Linked DNA regions of Arabidopsis thaliana. The protein of the gene in region 1 purifies or fractionates together with the protein of each later gene. This does not show direct contact. Each region holds a gene or a part of one and is shown on either strand. Other genes may lie near its edges.

Evidence for each region.
Region 2: the proteins of AL7 (region 1) and ATMND1 fractionate together in Arabidopsis thaliana (co-fractionation; one large-scale study listed by BioGRID). This does not show direct contact.

The regions. Positions count from the first base shown.
Region 1 is NC_003070.9:4,962,665-4,966,588, reverse strand, and holds the start of AL7 (alfin-like 7), read left to right. Parts: upstream 1-2,073; 5' UTR 2,074-2,434; coding exon 2,435-2,531; intron 2,532-2,746; coding exon 2,747-2,779; intron 2,780-3,294; coding exon 3,295-3,523; intron 3,524-3,923; coding exon 3,924-3,924. UniProt on the Arabidopsis thaliana protein: Histone-binding component that specifically recognizes H3 tails trimethylated on 'Lys-4' (H3K4me3), which mark transcription start sites of virtually all active genes.
Region 2 is NC_003075.7:14,380,715-14,384,638, reverse strand, and holds the start of ATMND1 (Mnd1 family protein), read right to left. Parts: upstream 1,804-3,924; 5' UTR 1,655-1,803; coding exon 1,652-1,654; intron 1,183-1,651; exon of another isoform or gene 1,088-1,182; coding exon 1,007-1,087; intron 823-1,006; coding exon 706-822; intron 597-705; coding exon 558-596; intron 459-557; coding exon 351-458; intron 270-350; coding exon 207-269; intron 126-206; coding exon 74-125; coding exon of another isoform or gene 69-73; exon of another isoform or gene 1-68. Other genes in the region: SNF7.1 (SNF7 family protein), read right to left, coding at 2,297-2,491, 2,571-2,685, 2,856-2,947, 3,035-3,120, 3,199-3,298, 3,549-3,620. UniProt on the Arabidopsis thaliana protein: Required for proper homologous chromosome pairing and efficient cross-over and intragenic recombination during meiosis.

The DNA.
Region 1 (3,924 bases):
ACAAAAAAATAAAAAGATAGCAAAAATTGTCATGGGCGTGCTCTTAATATTGGTACTTACTTGACTTTTGTTGGCGAGGTAAGGGAACCCCATGTTCCTTTTGGTTCTTCTTTATTCAGGAAATAATGTGGAATCTTTAAGAATATTGGTGTTTTCGGGGATGTGCAAGCTAAGTTACATCTGATTTCGTCCCTCTTTATAGGATTGGCTTTCCTTCGGGTGGAAGGCAAAGATTGTTGAAATGCTTGGAGAGGCTACTGGCATACTTGCCTCGGTGATGCAAGATACACTGAAACTTTTTAGTTTATGGTCCTTATATTTTTATTATGTTTTAAATATGACCCATAACTTTTGTAATTACAACTATTGCCCCATTATCCTCGAGCTTAATTAACTAAGACTAGTAAAATCATTTGTGAGCCCTTTCGTAATCAAATTTCAGACCAGGTTTACCCGAACTCCATTATATTATGCGAACCGTATTTCAGTGACAAAATGTTGAAAAGTTTTTCTCATCGAATTTCGGGGTTGAGGGCCTTGTGTTGAAATGATTTGGTTGAAGATTTCGGATGATGATCTCCATAATCAATTGTGGGCTTCAGGTGGATGGACGGAGAAGACCACTGCGTTATGGGCTTCGTTGATTTCAAATTGGGCGTTTTCGTGAGATTAGGCCCATTGTTGAATAGTCAGCTTGATTTTGTTGCCTTAGTATTTTACAAAAATTGTTGACTGGTCAGCTGATACTACATTATTCATCGAATGTTTATGAATCTATTACGAATGAACCTTGAGAGAAAGATAGTTTGTTATGAATTCATTCCACATTGGTATTACAATAGATTGATTCGAACTTATACTTATTATATCTAATAAGTACATATTAGAAGTTAACTAATAGTTAGCTAACTTGGAAGGCGAGTCATGTGACAGTAGCATATTTTTAATATTGATTAATAACATGTTTACAAAGTTAATAGTCTACTTTTATTAATGTGGCAAGTACGTGAATGTGTTCCTAATCCTAATTATTCGTAAATATATTTAAATTTTATTAGTTAAACTACCTTTTAATTAATCAAACAATACGAAACTCCATCAAACAACTTTATACAAAAGAACGACACTTACATCCCAAATTAGACAACCATGTTAAAAAATGCTGTATGCAAATAGCTCATTAGACCATGATGAAGAGCAAACCAAACAAATACATATTGTTTTAAAATCATTTCCATGTGTCATCTGATGATTCAACATGTCAATAAGGTCGAAACGTGAAATGGAGCAAACTGATTCTTAGACAACATCCGGAAACTTAATTATTGGTATGAAGATCAAAATGTTTCTTTGGTTTCGACGTTATACCATTAATCTTTCTGCTAAGTATCTGACAACTTGTGATACACGTCAAGTATCTCCCAACTGTGACTAACTTCTTCTTCTTTTTTTCTTCTTCATAAAAACAACTGATTGTTCTTTTGAGGATAAAAGCATCAACGCCTCATTTTACTTACTTACCCGCAAATTCTAATCTGCAAAAAGATAGGAAATACATAGTCATCCATCCTAATGTAGTTCTAACTTCTATGTATTAAAGCTTTGTAGAGTTTGATTTGAATATAATTCACATGAAAATTAACAAAAACATGTAAAACAGTAGTATAAACAAAACCAAAATAATAACAAAAAACATTAACGATTAAACAAATCAGATAAAGACCCTCGCTCTCTCTACGGTATTAAGCTTGAAGCATTCTTTTTAACTATTAGTAGTATAATTTAACTCATTATTAACTAGAGATTAATGACAGAATATTGTAAAACCATCAATTTTGTTTAAAATCATTATTTTTTTTTAATCTTTAGCCTTTCCATTATATTGATCGACAGATATGGATATTATAGTACAGTTCTTAAACGTTAATCACAGTAAAACTGGCAGAAATTTACTGTATTATTACTTCAGTTCGTTGTAGAACATGCCTCAGGAAAAAAAAGCGCACATAAATATTGACCCAAAACAAAAGAAAAGTAAAACGACTTTATATTTCTGGAGTGAATTAAATAAATAGATAAATACAGGTTGTGACTTTAAAAAAAAAAAAAAAAAGTTGAGATGTTGTCGCTTTAATCTATTCTTCCAATGCTTCCAAATCCCTCAAATTGTCTTTTGTCTCCTTTCCTTTTCGTTTTTAGGGTTTTTTTTTCTTAGCACAGCTCTCTCTTCTCAATTTCCCCAAATGAAATAAATTCCTCCGAAAGTTTATAGATTTCACTCTCCCCCGAACTATACAAAATTCCCTCAAAAGGAAAAACTAAAAAGCCGATCTTGGCTTTTTTGTTTCTGAGTGCATCTCGATACTTGGAAGCATTCTTTGGTGAGGCTGATTCATTCTCATCTGTGAAAGTCTTTGGCTTTTGAAGCAATACTATGGAAGGAATTCAGCATCCTATACCTCGCACTGTCGAAGAGGTTTTTAGCGACTTTCGTGGTCGTAGAGCTGGTCTCATCAAGGCTCTCTCTACTGGTCAGCTCGATCTCTCTTTCTCTATTTACTCTGTTTCTTTTGATCGAATCTTAGATGATTTCTGTAGATTTGCGAGTTTTTTTTATATGTTTAGTGCTCGTTTCTTCAATTGGGTTTTCTTAATTTCCTGAGAAAAAAACCCCCAAAAGATTTTGGCTTTCTTCTTCCTGTTTTGGGTTTATTCATGTTCTTTTGTTGTGTGTTTTGTTTTGCAGATGTACAGAAGTTTTACCATCAGTGTGACCCTGGTGAGTTATTTCGTTACCCATTTAAAGTCTTGTATATAGCTTCCTAACGCATTGGTTCTTATCTTGTTTATAGGAAGATGTGTTTTTTTTTTTTTTGCTAAAGTTAAGATTTTTCAGTGCAAGAGTTCCTTTCGGGTCTGAATTAGGGAAGAGATTGTAATTGGACATGCGTTTTTTTTGCTTCATGAGTTTGTTCACGGATTCTTTTTGTTCCCAGCTTTTGTTTTTCTAAATTCTGTTAGATTGTTTTAGTTAGCTTCTTCCTGATTACATCTAATCTGCAGTAGACTTGTTGTTATGATCCTTTTTCTAGTTGACTCCTCTGTTAGGTGTTATATCTTTGATTATCTTCCTGTCAGAGTTGTTGTCTGTTTGAACAGTTTTTTTGGTTCATGATGTTTGAACAGATTATAGACTTTTTAAGTGTTTGTGAGATTTGTACCTAAGATGAAGTTAGTTCTCTTTGTGGTTTCTCTTCTTGACTTCTTAGTGAATTACGTTTTTTGCTAATGCAGAGAAGGAAAACTTGTGTCTTTATGGACTTCCAAATGAGACATGGGAGGTTAATCTTCCCGTTGAGGAGGTCCCTCCTGAGCTTCCTGAACCAGCGTTAGGCATCAATTTCGCAAGGGACGGAATGCAAGAAAAAGACTGGATTTCTTTGGTTGCAGTTCACAGTGATTCATGGCTTATCTCTGTTGCATTTTACTTTGGTGCACGTTTCGGATTTGGCAAGAATGAGAGGTAAGTTTCTTTCTCTGCTCAGTGTTCTGTGTTTGTTAATTTTGCTTGTTTGGTAAAGCTTCAATGACTAGTATAGTAGCTGCATAATTCTAGCATCCAAACACCGTGTAGTTGTTGTTGTAGATACTAGTGACGATCTCTGGCACACTAAACTCATGTTATCCTGTTTCTGTGAAACAACCCTGAAGAAGTGATCATCATTTTTTCTCCTTCAGTAGAGAGAAGTGAACCTACAAATGTATTGAATTCCATCTAAGCTGAACCAAAATTTATTGAGATTTAAGAATTTAGGTCAAAGATCATGTTTGTTGAATAGCCAAGTAACATTGTTTGTTTTCTCTGATATTATAGACTCAAATGGTTTAGTTATCTTGCCTCTGATCTTATTAATTCCTTTCAGG
Region 2 (3,924 bases), on another chromosome or scaffold:
CTCCACGAAGACCGGGAAAACCATATAGGAGATCTAACACAAAACAAAAGTAACGTATTATGCAGAACTTAACTCTTTGCCTCCAAAGTAGCTGGATCGTTGTCAGCAAATTGTACCATCTCGTTCTGTTTAAGAAGAAGAAACTGTTAGCAACTTGTTAAGCATGTGAATAGCTCTATGCAAACAGATAGTCTGTATAATCTGACCTTCAGATCTTTGTGTTTCTTTTCAATATCTTTGAGTTGCGTCAAGGCCTCTGTTCGTTCCTCCTGCAGCAAGAACAGCAATTCTGGTGAAAAGCACACGTAAGCTTATTCGAGCATTAATTCTACAATACTGAAAATACTTACCGATTCTTCCCTTCCCTTCTTTAGGGCCTCACACTGATCAACAAGTTCTGCTAACCTTTTGTTACTACCCTGAAGATCAGATTCAAGTTTCTGGCGAACACTCCTAAGCTGTTCATTCAAAATGAGATCAGAAACAATGAATTTCGCTATGCTCAAATTAATATGAATCTTTTTGATGTCATCTCAGGATACAGAACGGTGACTCACTTGATTGCCAGCACAGCTGGGAAGGCTCCAAAAGTAGATCTTCATTTGCAAAATAATGAACACCGTCAAACAACATATAACAGAGACAAGGACTATATGGCAACAAATGAAATAAAAAGATCCAACATAGGAACACTAAGCTACTCACAGAAATTCCAATCTTGTCTTTCGCAACAAGATCATCATCGACTAAACTCTGGATAACATCTTTCACAGACTGACTAATTACACCCTTCTTCGGCCCCATCTTCTCAAGTTCCTTTAGCTGAAATTTTTTTACAAAAGTAGAGACCCATAAGTGCTTGTATCACAAACCCAAAAGTTCAATAGCAACAAATTTAGGCAGTATATGCACTTCACGACTCTAGATATCAGATCACTTGGTAGATAAAGCTAGTTCAAAGGCGTCCAAAAATTAGCAAGTTGTAAAAACTAAAGAAAGTGCTCACTAGGAAGAAGTCTTGAGACTCATAGAATATCTGAAGCATCTTCTCTCGTTTCTCCTCCAGCGAAAGTCCCCGTTTCTTAGACTGAATATCATCAACAATAGAAAGCAGCGATTCAGTTGATACGAGAATGACGAAAAAAAACTTCAGAGCTTCAATGACGAAATCCAACAAATGATCTGTCAACAAATAGTTTCCAGATCGAAAATGTCAAAAATATATACAGTCAACTCAGCGACTACACTGATTGCGAGAATTGGCTGCTAGATAAATGCTAATTCGAGAACCTATCGATTCGCGTCATGCAGTCCAAGTGTTTGCGGAAATTCCTCACACAAATTTGTAATGAACTACGGAAGATAGAAACATTACTACCGATGAACGATAAGTTTAAACAAATTTCTTCGAAGAGTAAGAGAAACACATAACGATGACTACTAAACATTCAAACAAATAGGTCGAATCAATACATCCAAAATTCTCTTGTAAGTCGAAGAATCACAAGCTAAGATCATCAGTGTAAGATAATCACGATTCATAGAATCATAGAGAATAATCACTCGATCTTCCCAGGAAAATGCACAAATCACAGAGGTTCATTAGCGAAACAAAATCACAAGTAGAGAACATTCGTCCAGAGTATATTACCATCGTGATCTCTTGCTCCTGGTGATGCAATCCAAAGGATTTCAAACACTGCTACAGCTCTCTCTCACTCTCTTCCCTCACTATCGTCTCCTCTCTTTATCAAATTCGAAATGAGAGAATTGTAGAAGAAGCCTTGAAAACTTAAGCGGGTTATTATCCCTCGCTTTCTGTTTCATTTTTTATTCCAATTAATTTGAATTTAACCTTAAAACGACACGGAGTCCAATTTTATGGTACCAAAACGGCATGATGTTTGTTAAAGCAGCGAAGTCAACGTATATGGTTGACTATTCATGAGTAGTCTTATCAGGCGAAAGTGATGAACATAGGAGTAAAGTGATTATTAACCAAAGGAAAAAGTGTCATAAAAAGATACAAAAATTACAAAAGATAAATTATGTGAAGAACACTCAAATTGCAGATAACATTAACGACGGGGATTATAAAAGTTTTTCGCTCCGAATTAATCTGATTCAGATCCTTATATACATCGTCTGTTCGTGTCTATCAATGCATACATGTCTCTGCTCGGAGAGGTGAATAACCTGCAGTTAAACCAAGCCAATTGCAAAACTAGTTAAATTACAAATCCATAGTCTGTAAGCAAATTGATTGATTTTGCTTTGATTATAGATAGAAGAGACCTTAGAGGGCCATCTCAGCCTGTAATGCAGCGAGTTCTTCTTCCTCAGCAGTCCGCTTCTGGGGAACAGGACGAGCCGGTTGACGCCCTGCAGGCACTGGAACTGAAGGCAATGGAGGAGCTGTTGTTGCCGGCTGTAGAAGTTGCGATTCAAGCTCTTCACTTTCTAGTTCATCAAGCTCTGCTGCAAGCTCATCCTATCAAAGAGAAGTTTTTCTTAGACAAAAGTCATTATTAGTTGAAAAATATATGATCATTTGGGTACAAGAAAGTTACCTCGTCGAAGTCAGCCGCTGCCCCCATTGGAGTCGCCAATGCTTCTTGGATCTGTTTCATGTTCTCGGTTTGCTCATTGATCTCGTCCATGGTCTTATCCACATCATCAATATTTCTGCAAAATATTGTGTTTTGAGTTAGTCAGGCACTAGAAATGTTAAAGCATTCAAGCACAAGAAAAGCATAAGTATTTTGAATACCAAGCTCGTATTAACGATTCCCAGAACTGATGACGGTTAAAATGGTAGTAAAGAGTAATATGGTGAAAATGTGATGAACACTTACGTTGCTTTCTGCATTGCCTTCATTGCAGAAGCTCCACTCCTCAATGCATCAACAGTTTCGGTTGTTGCTTTTGCACCTTCTAACATAATCATCTGTATGACAAAAAGATATAAGATCCCAATAAATTCATCTAATTACTGCTATATAGTTTATAGTTAACAATCTTAAAACAAACTCACTTGATCATGAATACGGAGCTGGAAATTCCCAAGCTGTTCGACTTGTCCCTCATATAACCTCTTCCTTTTCAAACACTGTATAGCCGCTGCAAAAACCCAATACAGCTTTTAAGTACTCCAGTGATTAGCAACACACATGAGTCATAATAAATAAGAGGTCATACCTCGTTTGTTCTTAGCCCGGGAGTATTCTTTTGCCTTCTCAACCTCTGCACCAGCTTTCTTCAAGAGTACTTTCTCCTTTTTCTCTAGCATCTCAAGCGTCTGCAATGAACAAATCAACAAAATTTGAATATGGTTTAAAAGCAAACGATCATATAAATTGTACTCAGAAATCCCCAATTCAATCGTTTTTGAGTATTAAATATAAACGAGAATCGGATTTGAAGTGATGTCTTATGGTGATTTAAGTTTAAGATTAAACAAACAGTACAGAGATCAGTACACAGAGAGATCGATATTTCTTTCAGATCGAACGTAAATTGAGAGAGAGAAGTAGATAAGTAGATGATACCTCGTTAAGCTTGTCTAAAGTTTGGAGAGCATTAGCCTCCTGCTTGGGTTTCCCGAATAGCCGATTCATCATGATTTTGCTCCCACTTCGATCTCTTCTACCCCAACCGACACGATCACAGGTTACTGAAACAATTTTCCGCGAATTAAGAACCGATCGATCGATTAATCTACGAGGAAGATTCAGGATTCGTAAGAATCGGATCAAAAAATACCTCTGTCCAAATCTGAATTGGAGATGGGGGAAGATCAATTGTATACGTAGACGAGAAATAATGGAAATCACTTGTATTGGTTTTTGTTTGTTATTTCGCGTTTTTGTGTTCACAGAGAAGGGATTAAGAACGAAGGAAGCAACTTTCCTTTTTCCACACGCG